Linked DNA regions of Xenopus tropicalis. The protein of the gene in region 1 interacts with the protein of each later gene in a pairwise test. Links are inferred from orthologs where the notes say so. Each region holds a gene or a part of one and is shown in the gene's direction. Other genes may lie near its edges.

Region 1 (5,632 bases):
GGTAAAAAGCAACAGAGAAACAACATGGTACAAGACGCAGAGACATTACAGTAAGGAGGCTGAAATGGAGCCAAAAAACCCTGCCATTGCAATAAATTAATTAAATGTGTACTTACAACAAGAGTTACTCACTTTCCCCCTGCTATTCCCATAGCATTGTACTGTACACATAAGTTACAGCTGCCTGCTGGCTGATTCTCATCGGTTGTTATCGGCAGAGCTTTGGGGGATTCAAAAAAGGGTGACTTCCAGGGTCCATCTTTTGTCCACCACCAAGCCGGACTGGAGGCAGGAAGTGCTGCTTATAGTAGGGGGAGTAAAGCAAGATGAGCCTTTTTTTTGCTATTAAACTCCCAGCACCCAATGACCGTTGAATACGGGGGGGAATTCTTTAGTGTTCTGGGACCTGTAGTTCAACAACAGCTGAAAGGCCTGCCGAGTGAGTTTTTTGGGCCACATCACCACAAAAGCTACTACGGCAATGGGGTGATCTAAGTAGCCCCTTGCCCCCCTGGTACCACTAATATGTGCCAAAAGCAAAACTCTCACTTAATAATTACCTAGGTGGCAAGTTATTTCAGTACACTCACATACAATATAGCAGCTCTATTTTCTCTGTACTTTTTGCAAGTTTACTCTGCACTGAAGAAGAATTTGAACATATCTTTTATGACAGCTGTAGATACAATTACTATACATAGTCCGAAGGTTTATTGCCGACTTCTTTTCTTCCCATACATACAGTATATGCCCATGGGCTCTGCTCTTGGCTGCAGTGCAACAATTAGAAGAAAGCAGAGGTGCAACAATTAGCAGTATGGGGCCACCATAGTCTTCACCCTCCCTGCTCTGATTATTGCTTTGCCCTTGGGAATGGGTTAGCTGGTTGCAGCATGCCTTCATAGCTGCAACTCTGTACATAAATTACAGTTCTGACTGTTTTTAGTGTTTAAATGATTGACGTTGTTTCCTATTCTGTTCACTGCCCTTACCCATTAGCGCATAGTGCCACAATAGCCTCTGCAATGCAGAATAGGTGTTGCACAGATATCAGATACACTGGGCAAAAGAATGACAAGAAATAAATCATAAATAAAATACAAGTAGTAGCTGGTTATGTGACGCTTAAGGGTGAAGACACACAGAGCTACTAGTATATATACTAAAGTAGACAATGCTGATCATTTACTGATAATTGGCTGTACCTGTGTTTTAGCAGAGGCAATTCTCAGTATTGTCCATGGGAGGGTATTTTCTGGCGTTTAGTAGCTGTGAAAAAGAAGCTGCGACTAGTAGCTCTGTGTGTCTTCACCCTAAAGCAGGGGGATATGTAACACAAGCTATCCAACTAATCAATGGTGGGAATTGTACCTAAACATCAAACTTTGGACATAGCTAAACATCTGCCAATCGCAGAAAGAGTCCAGTAATGTCCAGTCAGCCCCAGTAGCTGTAGAATTCGAACTCTCGGGGGATACCAGGGGCTGTACTTGTACATCAGCAACTGATTAGATGCACTGCCGTGCAACTTCGAGCCCACCCTGCTTAAAGCCTGTAAGTGGCACCGTTTGATCCGCCGTGCAGTATAGCGCAGTATAGCGCAGCTAACTATTAGCGCAGGCAACTTCCGAAAGGAAAAGAGAAAGGCAGCGACCAGCCGGTGTTACGCGGTATCCCGCTCTTGCTCTCCGGGGATTGGCTGGAGCCCGTTGTGACGTAAGGGCGGGTGTTAATAAAAGAAAGCAGGCGAGCCCACAGCCCAGAATCAGAAGAGACTCTCAGGAGAGAGAGGTAGTTCCATGTCTAACGCCCCACAAACAGGACGGGCACAAATGAACGACACCGGGCAACTCCGCCTCCCCCATGGCTAAATGCGCTGGATATACGCGGGGCAGGAGTACTTTCAGCGCTGCGTGTCACACCCAACCGACTCCTAACAAGTGGAAGTAAAGTCAAAGGGACTGCAAAGCTATGGAACAGCGGGTCACCGCCAGCCCCTACCCTAACAGCACCCTCGAACAGCTGGTCTCCAACGTCTCCAACACTAGCAACGCCAGCGATAAGCCCGGGGATGCGTGGATGGTGGGCATGGGCATAATCATGTCTTGCATCGTGTTGGTGATTGTGCTCGGCAACGTGTTGGTGATCACTGCCATAGCCAAGTTCCAGAGGCTGCAGACGGTCACCAACTACTTCATCACGTCTTTAGCCTGTGCGGACCTGCTGATGGGGCTGATAGTGGTGCCCTTCGGAGCGAGTTCCATCATCCTGGACACTTGGGTTTTCAATAACTTCTGGTGCGAGTTCTGGACATCAGTGGATATCCTTTGCGTCACTGCCAGCATAGAGACCCTTTGCGTCATTGCAGTGGATAGGTACTTCGCCATTACCTCTCCATTCAGGTATCAGAGCCTCCTGACCAAGTGCAAAGCCAGGATTGTCATCCTGCTGGTGTGGGTGGTGTCCACACTTACCTCTTTCCTCCCCATCTACATGCACTGGTATAGGATAGAGGAGGAGAGTGCCTTGCATTGCTATGATGACCCCTCCTGTTGTTTTTTCTTCACCAACCCTGCTTATGCCATCTCCTCTTCCATCATCTCCTTCTACTTACCTCTGGTGGTCATGATTTTTGTCTACGCAAGGGTCTTCCAGGAGGCCAAAAAACAACTAAAGAAAATAGACAAAAGCGAGGGAAGGTTCCACAACCAGAATAACCAACAGGACACCAATGGTAAGCAAGGAAATAAAAGGACCTCAAAGTTTTGGTTGAAGGAGCACAAGGCACTGAAGACTTTGGGGATAATAATGGGCACTTTTACTTTGTGTTGGCTCCCCTTTTTTATAGTCAACATTGTCCAGGTGATGCACAAAGACTTTATCCCTGTCAAAGTTTACAACTTCTTGAACTGGGTGGGATATGTCAACTCTGCCTTTAACCCGTTAATCTACTGCAGGAGCCCAGATTTCAGATACACTTTTCAGGAGCTGCTGTGCTTAAGGAAACCGGGCTCCAAAGCCTATGCCAATGGGTACCCCCAGAGCAATGGGAACAGTGCATACAACGAAGACACAGAACCTTGTCAGTATTCTAAAGACAGGACTTGTGAAGTTTTATTTAAAGAGGAGAAAACTCCCAATCCCTCCCTTTTGAACTGTGAAGGTACTCTTCTAGATTTTAGCTTGGAACCACTGGGCAAGAATCATAACACGCATGATTGCTTATTATAGGATTGTCGATTTTTTTTTAATATTTGAACTATTACAACAAACTGGATTATTGCAATACAAGGGTCAACCAGATATCCGAATGTATAATACAAAGGAAAATGTTTTTATATGTATATTATATATGTATATTTTGCAGAAGGGCAGTGCCCATGTCTTGCAGAATGTATAAATTTATTATGAGAAAATGTACATTTCTGTCTATTTTCAGTTCCTCTTAAATTAAGGTAAGAGATCTTTTGTTATAATGTAATGGCTTTTATATTTTTATGTTGCTGCCCTGTGTACTTTACTGAAGAAAAATCTACCTCAAACCCTTAAAAAAAAATTGAATTCTAAGTTCAAGAATTCTGAAACTTAAAAAAAAAAAATCTTGCTTTTTCCCCCCTTTTCTACCCCTTAATAATACAAAAAACAGCTGCTGTTGGCGGAAGGGACAGGGTTAATTCTACTTTCCTTGAGATAGCTCTCCTGAGTAATGATGGGGTTAATGTGCTGAGCTTAATATTTTGAACTTTTGAAATTGCAAAAGTTGGGTTGTGAGAGATAGGAAAACGTATATTCTGTATAAGACTGATGAAAACTGTGTGTTGCAACCAGGAGAGACCCTTGGGGGTCATTCAGCATAGGTGCAAAAAGGCACAATTGCAGTAACCTATAGCAACCAGCTTTGGTTGGTCGTGTTTTGCAAGCTGCTGTGAAACCATGTAAAATAATATCAGAATAGTTGCTATAGTTACCACCATTGTGTACTTTTGCACCTGTAAATAAATTCTTTTTTTTCATGGTTTCTCAGGGAGGAAATGCAGTAAAAAAAAAAAAAAAAGTCGCAGAGCTAACTCAATACATTTCCAGCCACCCTTTTAGGTTTGTGCCAATCTTTGCATTCCCCTTTAACCCCTCTGTTGCAGGTTGGAAAGTGGCACTTTTTATAAGCAATTTGACATTTGCAGTGACTGTCACGTATACTGGAGCCTCTAACCAAAAGTGTATTTTAAGGATAGAAGGGTTAAAGGTCTAACTTAGTTCATCTAATTTTAGCAGTGAAGTCCAAAGTTGAGTGGAGGACCCATCCCCTTCTTGATGGCAAACTAATCTGTTTTTTCGGTGAGCCCAGCCTCCTAGATCCCTATTTGCGAGATAAATGAGTCCTTGTCTCCTAGATGGGGCAGAACAGATGTTCCTACTGCTGTTCTGTAGTGTCTGATCTCTGGCTGAAACCAAGTCCTGTCAGGGTAATTAATCAGTTATCTCTGGGTTATGAGCAAAATATGGGGCTTTCCAGATGTGACTGCACTACAGTGCTCAGCAGTTGCCCATGACAGTGGTAGGATTCTGAGAGTTGTAGTTCAGCAGCACTTAAAGACAAGCTTGCGGGTTGTTTCCTCTTGTCTCTTCAATGATTCTACTCAGTATAGATTTAATGGGGTATGTTTAGGCATAAACTAGGAAACCACAGACGAAGGAAGTAAAGCAGAGGCTCATTCATAAATAAGAATATAAAAACAAAATAGTTGATAGGCTACAGACACAGGACATTACAAATTATTATGGTCTATCACTTTAATACGCCCTGCTGGACAGGCTGAGTTCTCCCTATCGCACAAGGCATGTCTGTTCCATACATTTCCTCTGCGCAGCTCACAGGGTCACTAGCAGATCAGCTCTTTTGCACATTTCCAAGCCTTACAGTATTGTATGTTGCTCTTATTAAAGGTCATTGTGCTATTTATTAATCTGGCTTGTGTTTGTGTGTTCCCCCACCCCCTCTCTTGTTTTTTAGAGATTTGCAGATAAGAATTGCCTAAAACATTAGTGTGTTTACCGTTCAGCGATCACAAAATACTGTTGACCTTTATGCATTTAAGGTGATTCTCAAAGGAGATCAATATATGTTCAGCAGTAGGGTTACCATATGTCAGAGTGCATGCTACTTGACATGTTATCAATAGGGGAACGCACGGCATTCCTTAAGCGCTAGGTTGGTTTGGTCGCTGAGTAGGAAATACTAGTGACTTAGGAAAAGATTTACTCTCAGCAGCCTCAGATTCCTATAGCGGTCACAGGGCTCCTACGGAAGCTGCTGCATAGTGCAATTTATTTTTAGTGTTATGGAGTAGTCTAATGAGTGCATATTAGGCTGGCTGTTTAAAGAAAGTAGTAAAAGAAAATAACCCATTCCCTGGTGGTTGGATCGGAGTATCCTTGTGCTGTCAAAGCCTGACATGAACCAGAACAGGTGCAAGTCATACTGACTCAAGCCGGGAGCACAGGGAGCGTCAGCCCCTTCAGTGCAATGCACAGTTAAAATTGCCTGAATTTTCTTATTTAGTGGATTATTGTGGTGCACACTTCTGTGTGCCAGCAGAAAGGTTGCATAGGTGAAAATGGCCCGAAGTGTGTT
Region 2 (5,009 bases), about 100 Mb from region 1:
CCTCTGCCACTGTTCCTTCATTCTGATTTTCTGTGTTTTTTTTTCCCATTTACACTGAAATTGGTCTGCTTGTCCTTTGTTTGTAGCAGGGCAAATTGGGGTTTGATGGGGTTTCTCTTGTGCTTCTCTGAGCCCTATGTCTTCTTTTTCCCTTTAGGAACTCTGTACGTTTGGTTATTAGAAAGGTGCAGTTTGCCCCAGAGAAGCCCGGACCCCAGCCAGTAGCTGAGACAACGCGGCATTTCCTGATGTCCGACCGCTCCCTGCATCTAGAAGCATCTTTAGATAAAGAGGTAGGTTTGCTGGGTGCAAACACACTCATTAGGGGTGTGAGGAAATGATGATGCTGATGCATTTCCTCGTTTGAAGTCAATGCTGTGTCTGTGAAAGGAGTTATACCAGCTCAGCTTGCAGTTTCAGTTTTGCCTATGTTGCCATGATCTCTCAGGCTGTTTAGCCACGACCATCCTTATATCTTCCTTTTCCCTACCATTATAATATAATTACTAAGCAACTAGTGTAGGGAATAGCCGAATGGCCCAGGGGTTCTGCTATGAGTACTCTGGATCTTGGCCAGCACAACTGGTCATCCATTCCCTTGAACCACCATTTAGTGATGGGCTGTGTGCTCCCTCAGAGATCAGCTGACAGGAAGTGATGCAGCTCTAACTGTAACAGGAAGTAGTGTGGGAGTAAGAGACAGAACTCTGCCCATTCATTGGCTGTAGGGGCCTAGCATGTATGTGTGCCTTGGCTTGTGTGTGTGCACTGTGAATCCTATGATCCCAGGGGGCGGCCCTTAGTACTTAAAATGGCAGTTTTCTATTTAGGATTACCCAATGGCACATACTGCTAAAAAGCAGGAAGCAGTGTCAGACTGACAGGAGGCACAGCCAATAGACGTTAAGCCTGCTGCCAGGACTATGTGCGACATCATATAAGGAAGTAAAAAAAGCAACTGTAGTGTTTATAGGGGTCACTGACCCCCCAGCACAGGGTCTGTGCAGCAGTGATGGATGATTCTGAGGTGAATCTCTCTTCAGCTGCACATTTTTTGGTTAACTATGTATAATGATTAATGTGAATGTTGTACAAAGGTGAACAACCCCATTAAGTTTTGTTTCCCCTTCCGCTCACAGCTCTATTACCATGGAGAGCCAATAAATGTGAATGTGCACGTGACCAACAACTCCAGCAAGACTGTGAAGAGGGTGAAAGTGTCAGGTAAGTTCTTGCTGCTCTTGCCTTTAATGTAGGCCACAGACATGCATAGAAATATTAGTATACAGGTGCCGGGGCTGGGTGCAGCAGTATATATGTGTTATACTCATTCCCCCTTTATCTCTCGCAGTCAGACAGTATGCAGACATCTGCCTGTTCAGCACTGCCCAGTACAAGTGCCCGGTGGCTCAGATTGAACAGGAGTAAGTACCTCTCATTCATCTCCTCTTCTATTCATCTCCTCTTCCATTCATCTCCTCTTCCATTCATCTCCTCTTTCATTCACCTCCTCTTCCACATACAGAGTTTGCCTTTGTCAATGTCCAACTCCCCCCCCCCCCCCCCCCCCATGTATAATGTCCATGTCAACCCCTTATTTCAATCATGGCCCCCTTTTTGAATGGGGGTGATTCTGAGCTGGGATCATTGTATAACAACTCTTAGTATGTTATAGAATGCCCTGTTCCTAACAACTTTGCAATTGGTCTTCATTATTTATTCTCTATAGTTTTTGAGTTATTTGCCTTCCTCTTCTGTCTCTTTCCATGTTTCACCCCCGGCAGCCAAAAACTATTGCTCTCAGAGGCTACAATTTTATTTTTGTTACTTTTCATAAGTTATCTTTCTATTTAGTCTACCTCCTATACTTATTCCAGTAGGGTGAAGACACACTAGCTCACACTAGCTACTAGTAGCAGCTATGTTTTCATGGCTACTAAACTCTAGAGAGTACCTTGCCATAGACAATACTGAGAATTGCCTCTACTAAAACACATGTAGAGAACATTATCAGTAAAAGATCAGCTTTGTCTATTTTAGTAGCCACAAGAAGTAACTGCTACTTAGTAGCAGCTACTTGTCACGGCTACTAAACGCCAGAAAATCCCCTGCCATAGACAATACTGAGAATTGCCTCTGCTAAAACACACGTAGAGACAATTATCAGTAAATGATCAGCATTGTCTGTTTTAGTAACCACAAGAAGTAATTGCTACTTAGTAGCAGCTACTTGTCATGGCTACTAAACGCCAGAAAATCCCCTGCCATAGACAATACTGAGAATTGCCTCTGCTAAAACATAGAGACAATAATCAGTAAATGATCAGCATTGACTATTTTAGTAGCTGTGACAAGTAGCTGCTACTAGTAGCTCCGTGTGGCTTTACCCTTAGGGTGAAGACACACTGAGCTACTATAAGCAGCTACTTTTTCATGGCTACTAAACTCCAGAAAATTCCCTGCCATAGACAATACTTAGAATTGCCTCTGCTAAAACACACGTAGAGACAATTATCAGTAAATGATCAGTATTGTCTGCTACTAGTAGCTCCGTGTGTCTTTACCCTTATTCAAACCACTGCCTGGTTGCTAGGTAAGATAAGAATCTAGCAACCAGATAGCTGCTAAAATGCCAAAATGGAAAAAAAAGCTAAATAACTGAAAAACTATAAAAAAAAAAATCCATAATAAAGACCAATTGCAAATTGTCTCAGAATATCACCGTCTACGTTATACTAAAGGTTATTCTCTGCCAAGTGCCATTTACCTTTTTGTCTGCCTTGGTCTGTCACTTACCGACCACTCTTTCCCTGTGTCCCCCAGTGATCAGGTGACCCCCAGCTCCACGTTCTGTAAAGTTTACACCCTGACTCCTCTGCTGTCCAATAATCGGGAGAAGAGGGGGCTGGCACTGGATGGAAAGCTGAAACACGAGGACACGAACCTGGCGTCGAGTACCATGTAGGTGGCTAAGCCCCTCGCTATTGGCTTATTATGTACATGTCAAGCGCTGTGTATCACATGGGCTTCTCTTTGCTCCGCAGCGTGAAGGAAGGATCCAGTAAGGAGGTGCTGGGGATCCTGGTGTCCTACAGGGTGAAAGTAAAACTGGTAGTGTCGCGTGGGGGGTAAGTATTCATTTCAACAGGGATAAATGGTGGACGATAAACACAAGTGGGGTAACTTTAAGGTAAGTTTTAGTATGTTATAGAATGGCCAATTCTAAGCATCTTTTCAATTGGTCTTCATTATTTAATTTTTGACTTTCAAACTGGGGTCACTGACCCCAACATCCCAACAGACTATGGGTCTGTGAGGCTGCAGTATTTTTGTTGTTGTTACTTTTTATTCTATTCAGGCCCTCCCCTATAGATATATCAGTCTCTCATTCAAACCACTCCCTAGTTGCTAAGGTAATTTGAACCCTAGTAACCATAGCTGCTGAAATTCCAAGCTGGAGAGCTGATGAAAAAAAAGTAAAATAATTGAACAAAAAAAAAAAAACCACGAATAGTCAAAAAATGAACAACAGTTGCAAAGTGTCCCAGAATATCGCTCTCTACATAAGACTTAGTCCAGTTTGATGTAGAGAGCGATATTCTGAGACATTCATTTTTTGACTATTTGTGGTTTTTTTTAATATCATTTTCAGTTCAGTAGCTCTCCAATTTGGGGTTTCAGCAGCTATTTGGTTGCTAGGGTCCAAGTTACCTTAGCAACCAGGGAGTGGTTTGGATGAGAGACTGGTATATGAATAGGGGAGGTGCTGAATAGAAAAGAAAGTTACAAAAAGTCACAATAGCAATTAGTAGTAGTCTGTTCTCTGCCGGGGTCAGTGACCCCCATTTAAAAACGGCAAAGAGCTGGAAGAAGTAGTCGAATCATTCTAAAAACTGTAACAAATAAATAATGAAGACCAATTGAAAAGTTCCTTGGAAATGGCCATTGCGTAACATACTAAAAGTTACCTTAAAGGTGAACCGCCCCTTTATAACGAGGCTCTGTAAGAATGCTTGCCAGTGATTGGCTGTGCTGGATAGGCTTTTAGGTGATGCCACATGTTTAATGAGGAGAGTAATAGGGTAACTTATGTGAAAGTCTGTATGCCCATAATAATATGTGAATATAATGATGTATTTATTAAGTCTGTGTGGATCTCTTACAGCGACGTGGCCGTAGAGCTGCCCTTTGTCCTGATGCACCCGAAGCCTCCAGAGAACATCTCCCGGCCTTTGTCAGGTACGCAGCAGCGCAGGAAAGCAACGGCAAATCATTCCTCTATGCCTCGCTGCCCTTTCCTTTCTCTTTGTGATACCTTTTGAAAGCTCAGACTCAGGCACACTTTACTGCTGCGCTGCAAGTTGGAGTGATATCCCCCCCAGCAGCCGATCAGCAGAACAATGGGAAGGGAGCAAGATAGCAGCTCCCAGTAGGTATCAGAATAGCACTCAATAGTAAGAAATCCAAGTCTGGCTTGGGACTCCTCCAGTTACATGGGAGTAGGAGAAACAATAGGTTAGCTGAAAGCAGTTCTAATGTGTAGCGCTGGCTCCTTCTGAAAGCTCAGACTCAAGCACACTTTACTGCTGCGCTGCAAGTTGGAGTGATATCCCCCCCTCCCCCCCAGCAGACGATCAGCAGAACAATGGGAAGGGAGCAAGATAGCAGCTCCCAGTAGGTATCAGAATAGCATTCAATAGTAAGAAATCCAAGTCCGGCTTGGGACTCCTCCAGTTACATGGGAGTAGGAGAAACAATAGGTTAGCTGAAAGCAGTTCTACCCCCATAAGTACCCCATAAATATCATGGCCGTGGGCAGGACCTGAATGGCACCCAGGTTTATGTCTATGCCGATCGCTTACCCACGCTGCTTTCTCTTACAGAATACCCTCAGACGGATGCGCCAGTTGATACCAACTTGATCGAGTTCGATACAAAGTAAGCGCGGGGGATGCTTTGCCCGTTTGTATACAGCCGCGTGTTATCAATACCCGCTCACCCACACCTCT
Region 3 (5,009 bases), about 29 Mb from region 1:
AGCTATATCCTAATTTAAGTAGACAGAGGTGTAACCTTTAAACTGTCAGCCTTAAATGAGAAACTAAACATGGAATGGCTAAATTATTCTTTTACTTTTTTGGTTATTTGTGGCCACCCAAGATTTTCTGGATCAACTGAACTTTGGCCTTTTCATTGCACTGAATAATTAAGTTATCCCAGCTAATCCCAAAATTAAGCAATTTCTGGGCCTCTGATGTAGTCAAGGAGGATTCTAGAACATTAGTCATGCAAGAGAAAGTAAATGCGATTTCTGGCTGAATCTTGCATCTGGGTTTCTTCTCTTCCTTTCCTGATGCTGTTAAATACTTTGCTCAGACCCTATTACATATCATATATGTTCCAAATAATTTCCTAACAAGGGGTTTAACTACAGGGGCATACCTGAAACAGTCAGCCCAGGCAATTTCTGAAGTTAATTCTCTCTGCAAAATGTCCTGGGTTACAGAAGCACAATCACCGTTCCTCCCTGATGGGAAGATTGTACTGTATGATACTTTCAGCACTCTTTATAGTGAACAGAGTAACTGTTTATTGGCCTACAAAGAAAAAAAAACCCATTAAGTCTTCCTGTTACCCAAACCCTTGGGAAAATAAATTGTCTCACACACATATAGAAATGTTGTTAGTCTGGACATCCTCTATACACTTTCCCACCGGCAACAGCTAGACCTGCTCTCTCTGATGATGTGCCTCTGATATCATCAATCAGAATCTCTCTTTCTCTCTCTCGCTATATATATATATATATATATATATATATATATATATATATATATATATATTATAGCAAAAGTTAGCAAAGATATTGACTTAGTCCATTGAAATTCCTCTGAACATTTTGTGCTTTATTTATACACTGGGAATATGTTCATTTATAATAACCCAATTAAAAATCAGTTCGAAATGTATAGTCAACAAAGCCCTTTTGCAAATTAATTGCCCACAATGCAGCATTTTATTCCCAGAATTCCAGTGCAATTGCAGGCACATGTTACATTGTGTACACCAAAGATTTGTGCTTGTTATGCCAATGTATATGCTAATTGCGTATTGGTGATCCCTACAAGGAGCATGTAAAGTTTGCTCAATTTTGCATCCACTTTAGTGCTTATGAGCCTTAGTTAATTTGGCTAAAATAACTCAATAGTAAGTAACCTCAACCAGTACCCATCCAGTCTTGGAAAAATAAAAATACAACATATTCACATGCTGAGAAATATTTGGGTGTTTAAAAATGTAGTATGTCCTTTTGTACATGCAGAAGAAAGAATACAATCCCTTAAATTAAAACTCTTATAATTAAGTTATATATTTTTGTACTTTATACCACAATTGTTAGGTGGTTATAGATCATATGTACCCAAAATACATTAATAAATATTAATTAAAACTACATTTTGAAGCTTTGGTATGTTTGACTGCATGTTAAAGGGCAATTACCAGGCATTACTGCATAAACTCTAAAGCTGCTGTTAATCCTTATTACAGTCAGTATGGATTTTTCCAAGCAGCTGCCATTCTTTCAGATCCTCAACTCCATACCTTTAATTTTTTGTTAATAGTTTGTAATGGACTGCAGATCAATTTAAGAACATGTCACAGACTAGAGATGGCAACTCAATGTGAAAAAACTGCTACCATAATAAATATTATACAAACATAAAGAAGTTTAAACAAGCAAGAGAGAGAAAAGAAAAACTAAGGAGGAGAGGCCTGGTAAAGTTTTATTGGAATTATATATTCAAAGGATTGACAATGCAAGGCTTTTATAGCATAAAATAGGCCTCCATGTAATAAGCAAAAACAATTTAATGGATTAACTGAATTGCCAAGACAAGTTTAAACTTAAGAAGAAATCCAGCCCCTAGGTATAGATGAGTTAAGCATGGGCGCTGACATGTGCAAACATTCCATGAGGGGATAGAATAAATACACTGTAGTCAGGGAGAACAAGTCTGGAGAGGCTGAAGTTTTGGAAGCCTGACCTTTTCTTGTAGTATAATTGTTTTGCAAGATAAATCTTCTTTATGATAGTGTTGGATATTGCTTTGTAATGATACACCACTCTGCAAATTATTTGGAAACCAGATTAATTCTCAGGGTCAGAGTTGCAACTCAACAATTATTTTAGAAATAATGAATTATCCTATTTTGATTAATGTTGGTTATAGTATTAAATTCTGTATCACTGTATTAAAATAGATTATGGAAAGCCACACTAATGGAGACCCATTTTTGGGATCCAACCAATATTTTAACAATTTCTCATTTATAGGAACTATATTGGCATCACTAAGGATATTACATTTAGAGGATTTTTCTGACCAGACTATTAGAATAAATTAGTGTTAAGGTAGTTAAGAATCAATGAATCCTCCTGAGCTGACCAGTTTACCAAGCAAGAATATTTAGGATTGGACATCCAATGTACCAGAGGAATTAGGTGTACCCAATGTTTTGTATGTTTGAACATGAGCTGTATACATAGGTGCTGGCATGATGTACATTGTTTAAAAAGATAAGAGAACTAAACACAACAAAATAAACTGATGTAAACATATTCTGAGCACATTTGCACTTTATCTTTATTATCTATTTTAAGTGGTTTGTGAGATATTTGCAGTTTAGCAGGCTGTCAGCTCAAGAACTCTCTTTAAAGGTGTCAGCAGGACTAACTACCTATGCATTTCTATGCACGTTCTGGTGTTACTGATGCTTACTTGACTCAAAAAGCCTGGTATTAGCAGGTTAAAAATTTTAAATATCTAGAAAATTTCAAATATCTAGAAAATTATTGTAAATTTCAAAAGTGCTCAGAGAATCACTGAGTAAATTTATATCAATTTCTATGTTTAAGTTTAGACTCCCTTATATGGGCAAAAGTATATGGCCAAAAAGTATTCTTACAACCATTATAAAGTGAACTACACTTAATGGAAATATTTATTTAATGTCTGATCTATGCCACTGGAATATAGATATAGAACATAGGTTCTCTGAAGGTAAGAAACTGTTGGCAGTCTATCTGCCTGAATGTGTAAGGCTATCTGGAAAGTTTAGTGGAGAAATAGTGGTCAGGGGCTATTTTTCGTTGTCTGGGTAGAACTACTTTCATGACAAATCCATGTTTCCTACCTTTTGATAACATTTAGGTAAGGCCCTTACCTGGTCTATCAAGTTCAACCGAGTCCATCAAGTTCAACCATTCCAAGTGAACCCAGCACACACAAACCTATACTGACCTATCTATACACTCACATACATTAACCCTATATACCAACATCAATACTAACTGTAGATTTTAGCAGGTCCACCTGATTAATCCCATGTAAATATTTATTGTATTTTTTCTGTTTTAGAAGAATATACCTAATTAGTCTTTATTTTTCTTTTTATATAACTATAGGTTATTAAAGGAGTTTAACCAATGTAAGCAAGTGATTCATGCTTTTTTGATAAATAATGGACATATTTTTTAGCAATGCAAACATAGCATTTTATTTAGTTTTACTTTTTAACACAATACAGCTGAGCCCTGAATATTATTTCATTAGGTGTTTTAGCAGAGCTTTTTTAAAGTGCCTTTTTTATTTAGAAACTGGCATTCAGGTTTTCATTGCTGTTTTTTCTCCCCAGCAGCGGAGCAATAAAATAATTGCAATAAATGTTCACCCACCTATAGAGAAGAGAAATGTCCAGTATTGTATCCAACAAAGCAGAAATAGAGACTGCACTCAAGCAAAATTTCAGCTGGGGAGCTTACCCCATTTATTATGCCAATGTACCACAAAAAAAATCACCGTTTCTGGGGGGCACTCCCCCCCTTCGTCAGTATTGTATCCAGACACTGAACTGAGTAGATATTTGTGATACTTAATTTTATTATATTTCTTTGTTGCCTTCTCATTCTATGTTTCCTTCTTTATCTCTTGCGATTGATAACTATTCATATTATGGTAAGGCACTGTGTACTTGTTTCTATAAGCATAAATGCTATTGATGAATAGGTGATGAAGAATATTGGTGATTTTAAAGTCTGTACAAATGGCCAGTCTAATCAAATGATAATATGTTTTTCCCAACAGATAGCTTCCCTTGGAGTGACCACCTTTACATTGTGTGCCCTGTGCATTGACCGATTCCGTGCTGCCACTAATGTACAGATGTATTATGAGATGATCGAGAACTGCACTTCAACAACTGCCAAGCTGGCTGTGATATGGGTGGGTGCGCTAGTTCTAGCACTGCCTGAAGTTGTCCTTCGACAGTTATCCGTGGAGGATACAGGAGTGAATGGTCGGTTTCTTCGTGAGCGCTGTGTTGTAAAAATATCCACTGAACTCCCTGATACAATTTATGTGTTGGCCCTTACATATGATGGTGCAAGGCTGTGGTGGTATTTTGGTTGCTATTTTTGCTTGCCTACTCTTTTTACAATAACCTGCTCATTGGTCACAGCAAGAAAAATAAAACGAGCTGAGAAAGCTTGCACAAGAGGAAATAAACGTCAGATTCAGCTTGAAGGTCAAATGAATTGTACTGTGGTAGCCCTAACCATTTTATATGGATTTTGTGTAATCCCTGAAAATATTTGCAATATTGTAGCAGCTTATATGTCCAGTGGCGTGTCAAGGCAAACTCTGGATCTTCTTCATCTCATTAGCCAATTTCTTTTGTTCTTCAAGTCATGTGTTACTCCTGTCCTCCTTTTTTGCCTCTGCAAGCCTTTTAGTCGAGCATTCATGGAGTGCTGCTGTTGTTGCTGTGATGAATGCATTCAAAAGTCCTCAACTGCAACCAGTGACGATAATGATAATGAATACACTACAGAACTGGAACTTTCCCCATTTAGTACAATACGGCGTGAAATTTCCACATTTGCATCAGTAGGAACCCATTGTTGAAAATCTCCATTCGCACTGTACTTGTATAAAAGTCTGTGATACACATTTGAAATGTTTTTAGTGTTGACTTTTTTAACAAAGC
Region 4 (5,611 bases), on another chromosome or scaffold:
AAAATTTTCTGTCCTGCCTGATCGACAAGACCAATATACAAGGCTTTTGCGATATTGGTTAACTCATCAATCCACTATACACGCAGCAAATATTGTACAAAACCTTGTTTTGCATGATAATGTTGGTGCTTGTATGGTAACCTTTAATCTTCTTCAGTTAGAGCAACAAAACCTCCAAAAATACCATATTTTGAAGTCTATCCAAATCTCTGCCAGTAATACATATCAGTCTTGTAAATGCATGCAATTGCCTTCTGCATTCTCACATGATTATGTGATGTAAATGTTTTTCCAGCAAAGATTCAGACTAACTTTAATACAAAGGCATTTTCAGATACTGATTATTCTTTAGTGCTGGACATAAAATGTCATGCATGCTATCAGTGTGCAAGAAGAACACTGAACCACTGTCAAACCACTTATATTGTAAGTTCTGTAGGGCAGGGATCTCCTTCCTCTTGTCTCTGACAATATTTAATGTAACTGTACTTTGTATCTATGTGTATTTATTATTGCAATGACCCCTTCTTAATTAATTTATTCATTTATTATTCTACTGTACTGTTTTACACTGGAGCTGTCCTTTGCTCTTCCGCTTATGCATGCTTTAAAATACAAAACCTGCAGCTTTGGCATTTTCTAACTTCCTGCAACTTAATGGTTCATCTTTTATTATCAAAGTGTAAATCCCTGTGCAGCCACATAGGTATTGGATAGGCTTTATACCTCCCTTCAGCCTGTCCAATCCCCAAGTGGCTGTACTGAAACTTACACTGTGACCTAATGAGCTGTTAAAAATGAGAAGTTAATAAAATCATGTCTTCCCCAAATGCCACCTGTCACTCCATAATCATCCATTGTTATATATAAACCCTTTACTCTTAGCTGTTAGTAGCTAGTGTGTTATATTATTAATCATAGTGAATTGTTATAAAAAGTTAAATAGAACTCTATGATTTCTATTAGGTTGTACCCCCTGCCTAATGCAGGCTGGGTGCATTAGGGTCACAACATGCCACATACTTTGGTAAATGTAAGAATACTGGGCATCAAGCTGTTCCAAAGATGAAAATAGTAAAATGGAAATAGCAACATGGTTTTACTCTAAAGTGGACAAAACCATAACATGTTGACGGGCGATGTAAAAGTTGTAGGGATGTACCAAATCCAGTATTTTGCCAAGATTTGGCCTTTTTCAGCAGGATTTGGATTTGGGCAGATTTATGCCTCTGACCGAAGCGAATCCGATTCCTTAAAATCACGTGACATTTTGTCACATAAACATGGAAGTTGAAGTTTTTTTTACTCTGCACTTTATCCCCTCCTCGTCCTAAAATTAGGATTCAGATTCAGTTCGGTACTTGGACGAATCTTTCACAAAATTGTTCAGGGTTTGGACGGATCCTAAAATAGTGGATTTGGGCGATCCCTTAAAAAGTGCTTGCGGCTTGTAATTGTGGGCAGGGCCTATTTTTGCCACAACAAATCAAAAGCATTTTTTACCAGAATTTATGCACATAATATGAATACATACATCTTTTTTTTCTATATTTTTACTGGAACTTTAACAATTTTTCCCAAACTGAAAAATTCAGTCTATTGCCATATGCAATATAATGGAACCTATGCAGTGGAATAGTTCAATAAACATGCAAGAGCAAGTTGCTTTACAGAGTGGTCTCACGTCGTTCCTGTGGGAATACTACAGCGCGACGCCTATAGGCTGCGTTTATAAAACTGGCATAAAGGGAAGCAATTGACAAACACCTCGTTCATTCTAAATAAGCATTAACTTGTATTGGTTTCAAATTCCCTAACATTTCCTTCACATTTGTTGCAGCATAACCGCTATCCCTTCCGCGGTGCTCAGCTGTAAAACGCCGTACTGTTTTTGAAGCACTAATGTGGAAGTGTGTGACGGGACGAATCCCGAGTGGGCGTTACCCAGGACACACGCTTGTTACGCGCATGTGCGTGCTGACGTCACCCAGTCCGTGTTCCTCCCGGCCGTGACGCGCTTGGGGCATTACGCGGTTGCCGCACTGTACTGTGTGTTGAGTCAGCGGTGACAAGGAGCGCAAGGGGGGAGGCGGAGGAGGAAAGAGCCGATACTGAACTGACCATAGTAACCCGAGCCTCGGAGCCCACACCGCTAGGCTGTGCCAGCTTTGGCCCGTTCTCCCCGCTCCAGCCTTGTCTTCCAGCGCTCGCTGCCTCTTTAAGTCACCCAGCTGCCTACCTGCTGGGCCTTCATTTGACATCTCATATTCGGCCACGTAACACAAGCGGCCTCCTCTTATTTTGCGTGTTGTGGGCCAGCCGAGCGGTGAATGGCGGTAGTTACACCCGGGGTCACCATGTCCAAACACGAACAAATCCTTATTCTTGACCCGCCCAACGAGCTGAAATTCAAAGGTAACGGGACGTATCTGGTTATGTGGTTCCGGGATGTGAGGCCACAATGCCCCGCTTTCCAGTTGTGTCTTGCGGGGAAAAGGCCTCTGATGGATGGAGAGAGTGTGGAGATTGCTGTTGCCTCTGTTGTGGTGAATCGGGGTGGCTAATCTCTGTCACATTGGTACTGGCAGCTGCACTCCTATCCACCACTGGAGGGCTGCAGCTTGGCCCTTTAGTCTATGGCACTGAGACAGCCAGTGCTAGCTGCTTACAGTGTGCTTTGTTTTACTTCTAATACTAACAGTGACAGCCTGAATAACACGTGATTGTACAATACCAGCAGATTTCACAATGCTGTACAGTAGAAGGGTGTATACATCAAACATACATTACATGAAATGTTTTAGTAAGTGTTAATTGGCCCATGATTCCCACTCTTGCAGCTCTAAAGCAATAAGTAAATATTATTTGACTTGTGGTGTTCAGGTGTGATTGGGCATTACATTGTAAAATACACTGGGGCAGGGATTTATGTGAATCATATATAATCAATGTAAAATGATGTGGTGTTCGTTGTTGCTATATAAATACAGGGTTGTGTGTGTGCTCAGAGCAGTCATGTCAGTAGCCATAGATTGCTTGGGCAGCTGTACAGAAAACTTGTTTAATGTTCAGGATTTAATTTAAGTATTGTTAGATTCACATAAGATGAAAGTGTGCACAGGCAGACTGTTGTTCCTGACAAGGCAATTAGTATAGTTGGCCATACATGGGCAGGTTTAAACTGCTGATTTGGTCCCTTCAGAACATTTTATCTGCCCATGTATGGGTCCTCCTGTCAGATTGCCCAGGTATCTATCAGGCAGGAGTAAATGCCTATTGGGGCATGGGTTACATTGCCTCATTTATGCAGTCCTCTCCTGGCCGCCTGTATCATTAGCCCGAAGATCAGTCCAGTATGGCCCAGCATATAATTGGCTTGTAAAGCGAAGTACCACACCAGCGCCTGCACATATTGGTAGCCTTCTTGGGAACTAAATGAACTCTCTGAAAACTGGCATTAAACAAGCACATAGGTGCCCATATTGGGCACAGAGCTGCTCATTTGGCAACCTGGACAAATGAGTGAATCTTCTTGTGTATAGCCACCTGAATACTGTGATAGGAAATATAAGGTGGGTGAGATCTTACAATTTCAGATCAATAATACAAGTGAAAGGATGAACTCTAAGCAGGTTTCAAGGACAACATTTATTTTTGGCCACCAGGTCTCTCTGTTTTAGCCTTAGGTATCCAGGTGTTGTGGGGTGTCAACTCCTTTAATTTCTTAACATATAATCCAAAATCCAATTAAAAGCATACTGAGAAAATAGGTTTCAGGCCACAAAACTGTTTTTAAACTGACTCAAACCACACAGATTTGCTGTCCCTATAGTGTGTTTGTGTGGTGGTGTTTTTTTTTTTTTTTTTTTTTTGGTAATCCTGAGGGAACTTTGGACTCTTACCAGTACAGTATTTCTCTGTTGCAGGAATGTCCCAGAATCCATTGGTTCTTTTTTTTATTTCTCCTACGCCTCACCTGCTTTTTATAAGCAATTTCACAATTTCTCTGCCCATTTGAAACATAATTGCCTACATTAAAGTTAAGATTACAGAAGGTTACAGGTGTTTTAAACATTACTGTTATTGCCATTTTTAAATCTCCTTTACAAACATTGTAATGTAAAATTCTGTCACTACAGGATCTGCTCCTACGAATGGGGAGCAAGGAGTTGAGGTATGTCAGGTTTACAGGTTTTAAGTAAAGATATGCTTTGGATCAAATTTTTAGTTTGGTCAGACCATCAGTGATCCAAAGGATTGCAGAAACATCCTAGGTGACATTTAGGTGCAGGCAGAAAAAAAAACACCCAATCTGGTCATAAATGTCCAATTTAATTCTATAAACTAAGCCAAAAACCTGTGCTTCTCTATTTTCTTTGTTTTCTTATTTTGCACTTCACAAACATGTACCAAGGAAGTAGCAGTCCTTATTGTCATAAAAAAAAAAAAAATCTAAACAATTTATTTTTTAATTTTTATTATTCACCTTTCATGAGAAACTCCACTACAGAGCTATACTAATGGCATCATGTGGGAGCACAAAATTGCACTGCAAGGCTCAGAAGGTTTGTCTGAGACTTGCAGGGATCTGGGCAAATCCTGAATGGACTACTGAGTTTAATGTATTCTTAATCTAATGGAGCAGGTATTCATCTGACAGACACTGGGGAAACAACTTTTGTCTGTGGTCACCCAGTAACACAATAAGAAATGTAGTAGTAAGGCATTTGTCATAAGCCCAGTTATGAGTTTAGTTTTCAGGTATTACTGGATTTTGTTTCAGCATGGGGATGTCAAAGCTTTATATGCAGGTATTTGCGCTTTTATTCCAATACCTGTTATCCAGAAAGCTCTAAGTTAGGGAAGACCATCTCCCATAAAGTCTATTTTAATCAAATATTTTTTAAACGAATTTCCTTATTCTCTGTAGTAATAGGACAATGCTGTGTTCTTGATATCTTAGAAATAAAAAGATATTTTTTTTTTATTGCAAGGTCATTGTGACTTAAAAAAATGGAATTCCCCGCCGCAGCTGTGGTTTGCAAAAGCAGTACTGCCGAGTACTGTTGGGGACTACACCATGTGCCTATTCCTCATGCAGGCAGCCATGTTGGGGCACATGTATGTACAGACTGTCCTAGGTCTGGGACACTTGTTTTCTAAGGGTATGTTCACCATCCCAATTCAGGTTTAGACATATGCACATGCACATATTGAATATATTTACTCTTGTAAATATCCTAATTTGCTCCCTGGTGGGTGCCTAACATATAGGCTACCTCAGTGTTAGTAGCTTTCCTTGTGCTTTTTTTTTTTTTTTTTCTTTTTATGGTTTTTTGGTGTAACATTTTTCTCTGTTGCACACAACCCAAGCATGTTAACAGTTTGGAGTCTCATCCAACTAGGTTTCCATCTTGAGTGAGCAACTGTGGCGTGACTATACAGTGGCCCCAGACAATGTTGGTTATCCTAAGTGGATGCATTAACTGGGTGATTGGTTATAAGTGTCTTCATTTCCATGACTAATATAGGGTATCATTGGTTTCAGCAGATTGGTAAAAGGAATAACTCCATAAAGTTCAACCTTTATTCTGGAAATGGTAACCATTGG

Evidence for each region.
Region 2: the proteins of adrb2 (region 1) and arrb2 interact in binary tests that used the Homo sapiens proteins (3 or more experiments, as listed by UniProt). The link is inferred for Xenopus tropicalis from reciprocal best matches to the Homo sapiens genes ADRB2 and ARRB2.
Region 3: the proteins of adrb2 (region 1) and gpr37 interact in a protein complementation assay, tested with the Homo sapiens proteins (2 studies listed by BioGRID and IntAct, with this or other methods). The link is inferred for Xenopus tropicalis from reciprocal best matches to the Homo sapiens genes ADRB2 and GPR37.
Region 4: the proteins of adrb2 (region 1) and vapa interact in a protein complementation assay, tested with the Homo sapiens proteins (2 studies listed by BioGRID and IntAct, with this or other methods). The link is inferred for Xenopus tropicalis from reciprocal best matches to the Homo sapiens genes ADRB2 and VAPA.

The regions. Positions count from the first base shown.
Region 1 is NC_030679.2:41,026,435-41,032,066, reverse strand, and holds adrb2 (beta-2 adrenergic receptor), read left to right. Parts: upstream 1-1,761; 5' UTR 1,762-1,971; coding exon 1,972-3,231; 3' UTR 3,232-4,962; downstream 4,963-5,632. UniProt on the Homo sapiens protein: Beta-adrenergic receptors mediate the catecholamine-induced activation of adenylate cyclase through the action of G proteins. The beta-2-adrenergic receptor binds epinephrine with an approximately 30-fold greater affinity than it does norepinephrine.
Region 2 is NC_030679.2:142,395,676-142,400,684, reverse strand, and holds part of arrb2 (beta-arrestin-2), read left to right. Parts: intron 1-157; coding exon 158-293; intron 294-1,139; coding exon 1,140-1,224; intron 1,225-1,351; coding exon 1,352-1,424; intron 1,425-2,823; coding exon 2,824-2,961; intron 2,962-3,044; coding exon 3,045-3,128; intron 3,129-4,165; coding exon 4,166-4,239; intron 4,240-4,883; coding exon 4,884-4,938; intron 4,939-5,009. UniProt on the Homo sapiens protein: Functions in regulating agonist-mediated G-protein coupled receptor (GPCR) signaling by mediating both receptor desensitization and resensitization processes.
Region 3 is NC_030679.2:70,502,278-70,507,286, reverse strand, and holds part of gpr37 (prosaposin receptor GPR37), read left to right. Parts: intron 1-4,108; coding exon 4,109-4,927; 3' UTR 4,928-5,009.
Region 4 is NC_030682.2:104,673,084-104,678,694, forward strand, and holds the start of vapa (vesicle-associated membrane protein-associated protein A), read left to right. Parts: upstream 1-2,063; 5' UTR 2,064-2,357; coding exon 2,358-2,415; intron 2,416-5,611. UniProt on the Homo sapiens protein: Endoplasmic reticulum (ER)-anchored protein that mediates the formation of contact sites between the ER and endosomes via interaction with FFAT motif-containing proteins such as STARD3 or WDR44.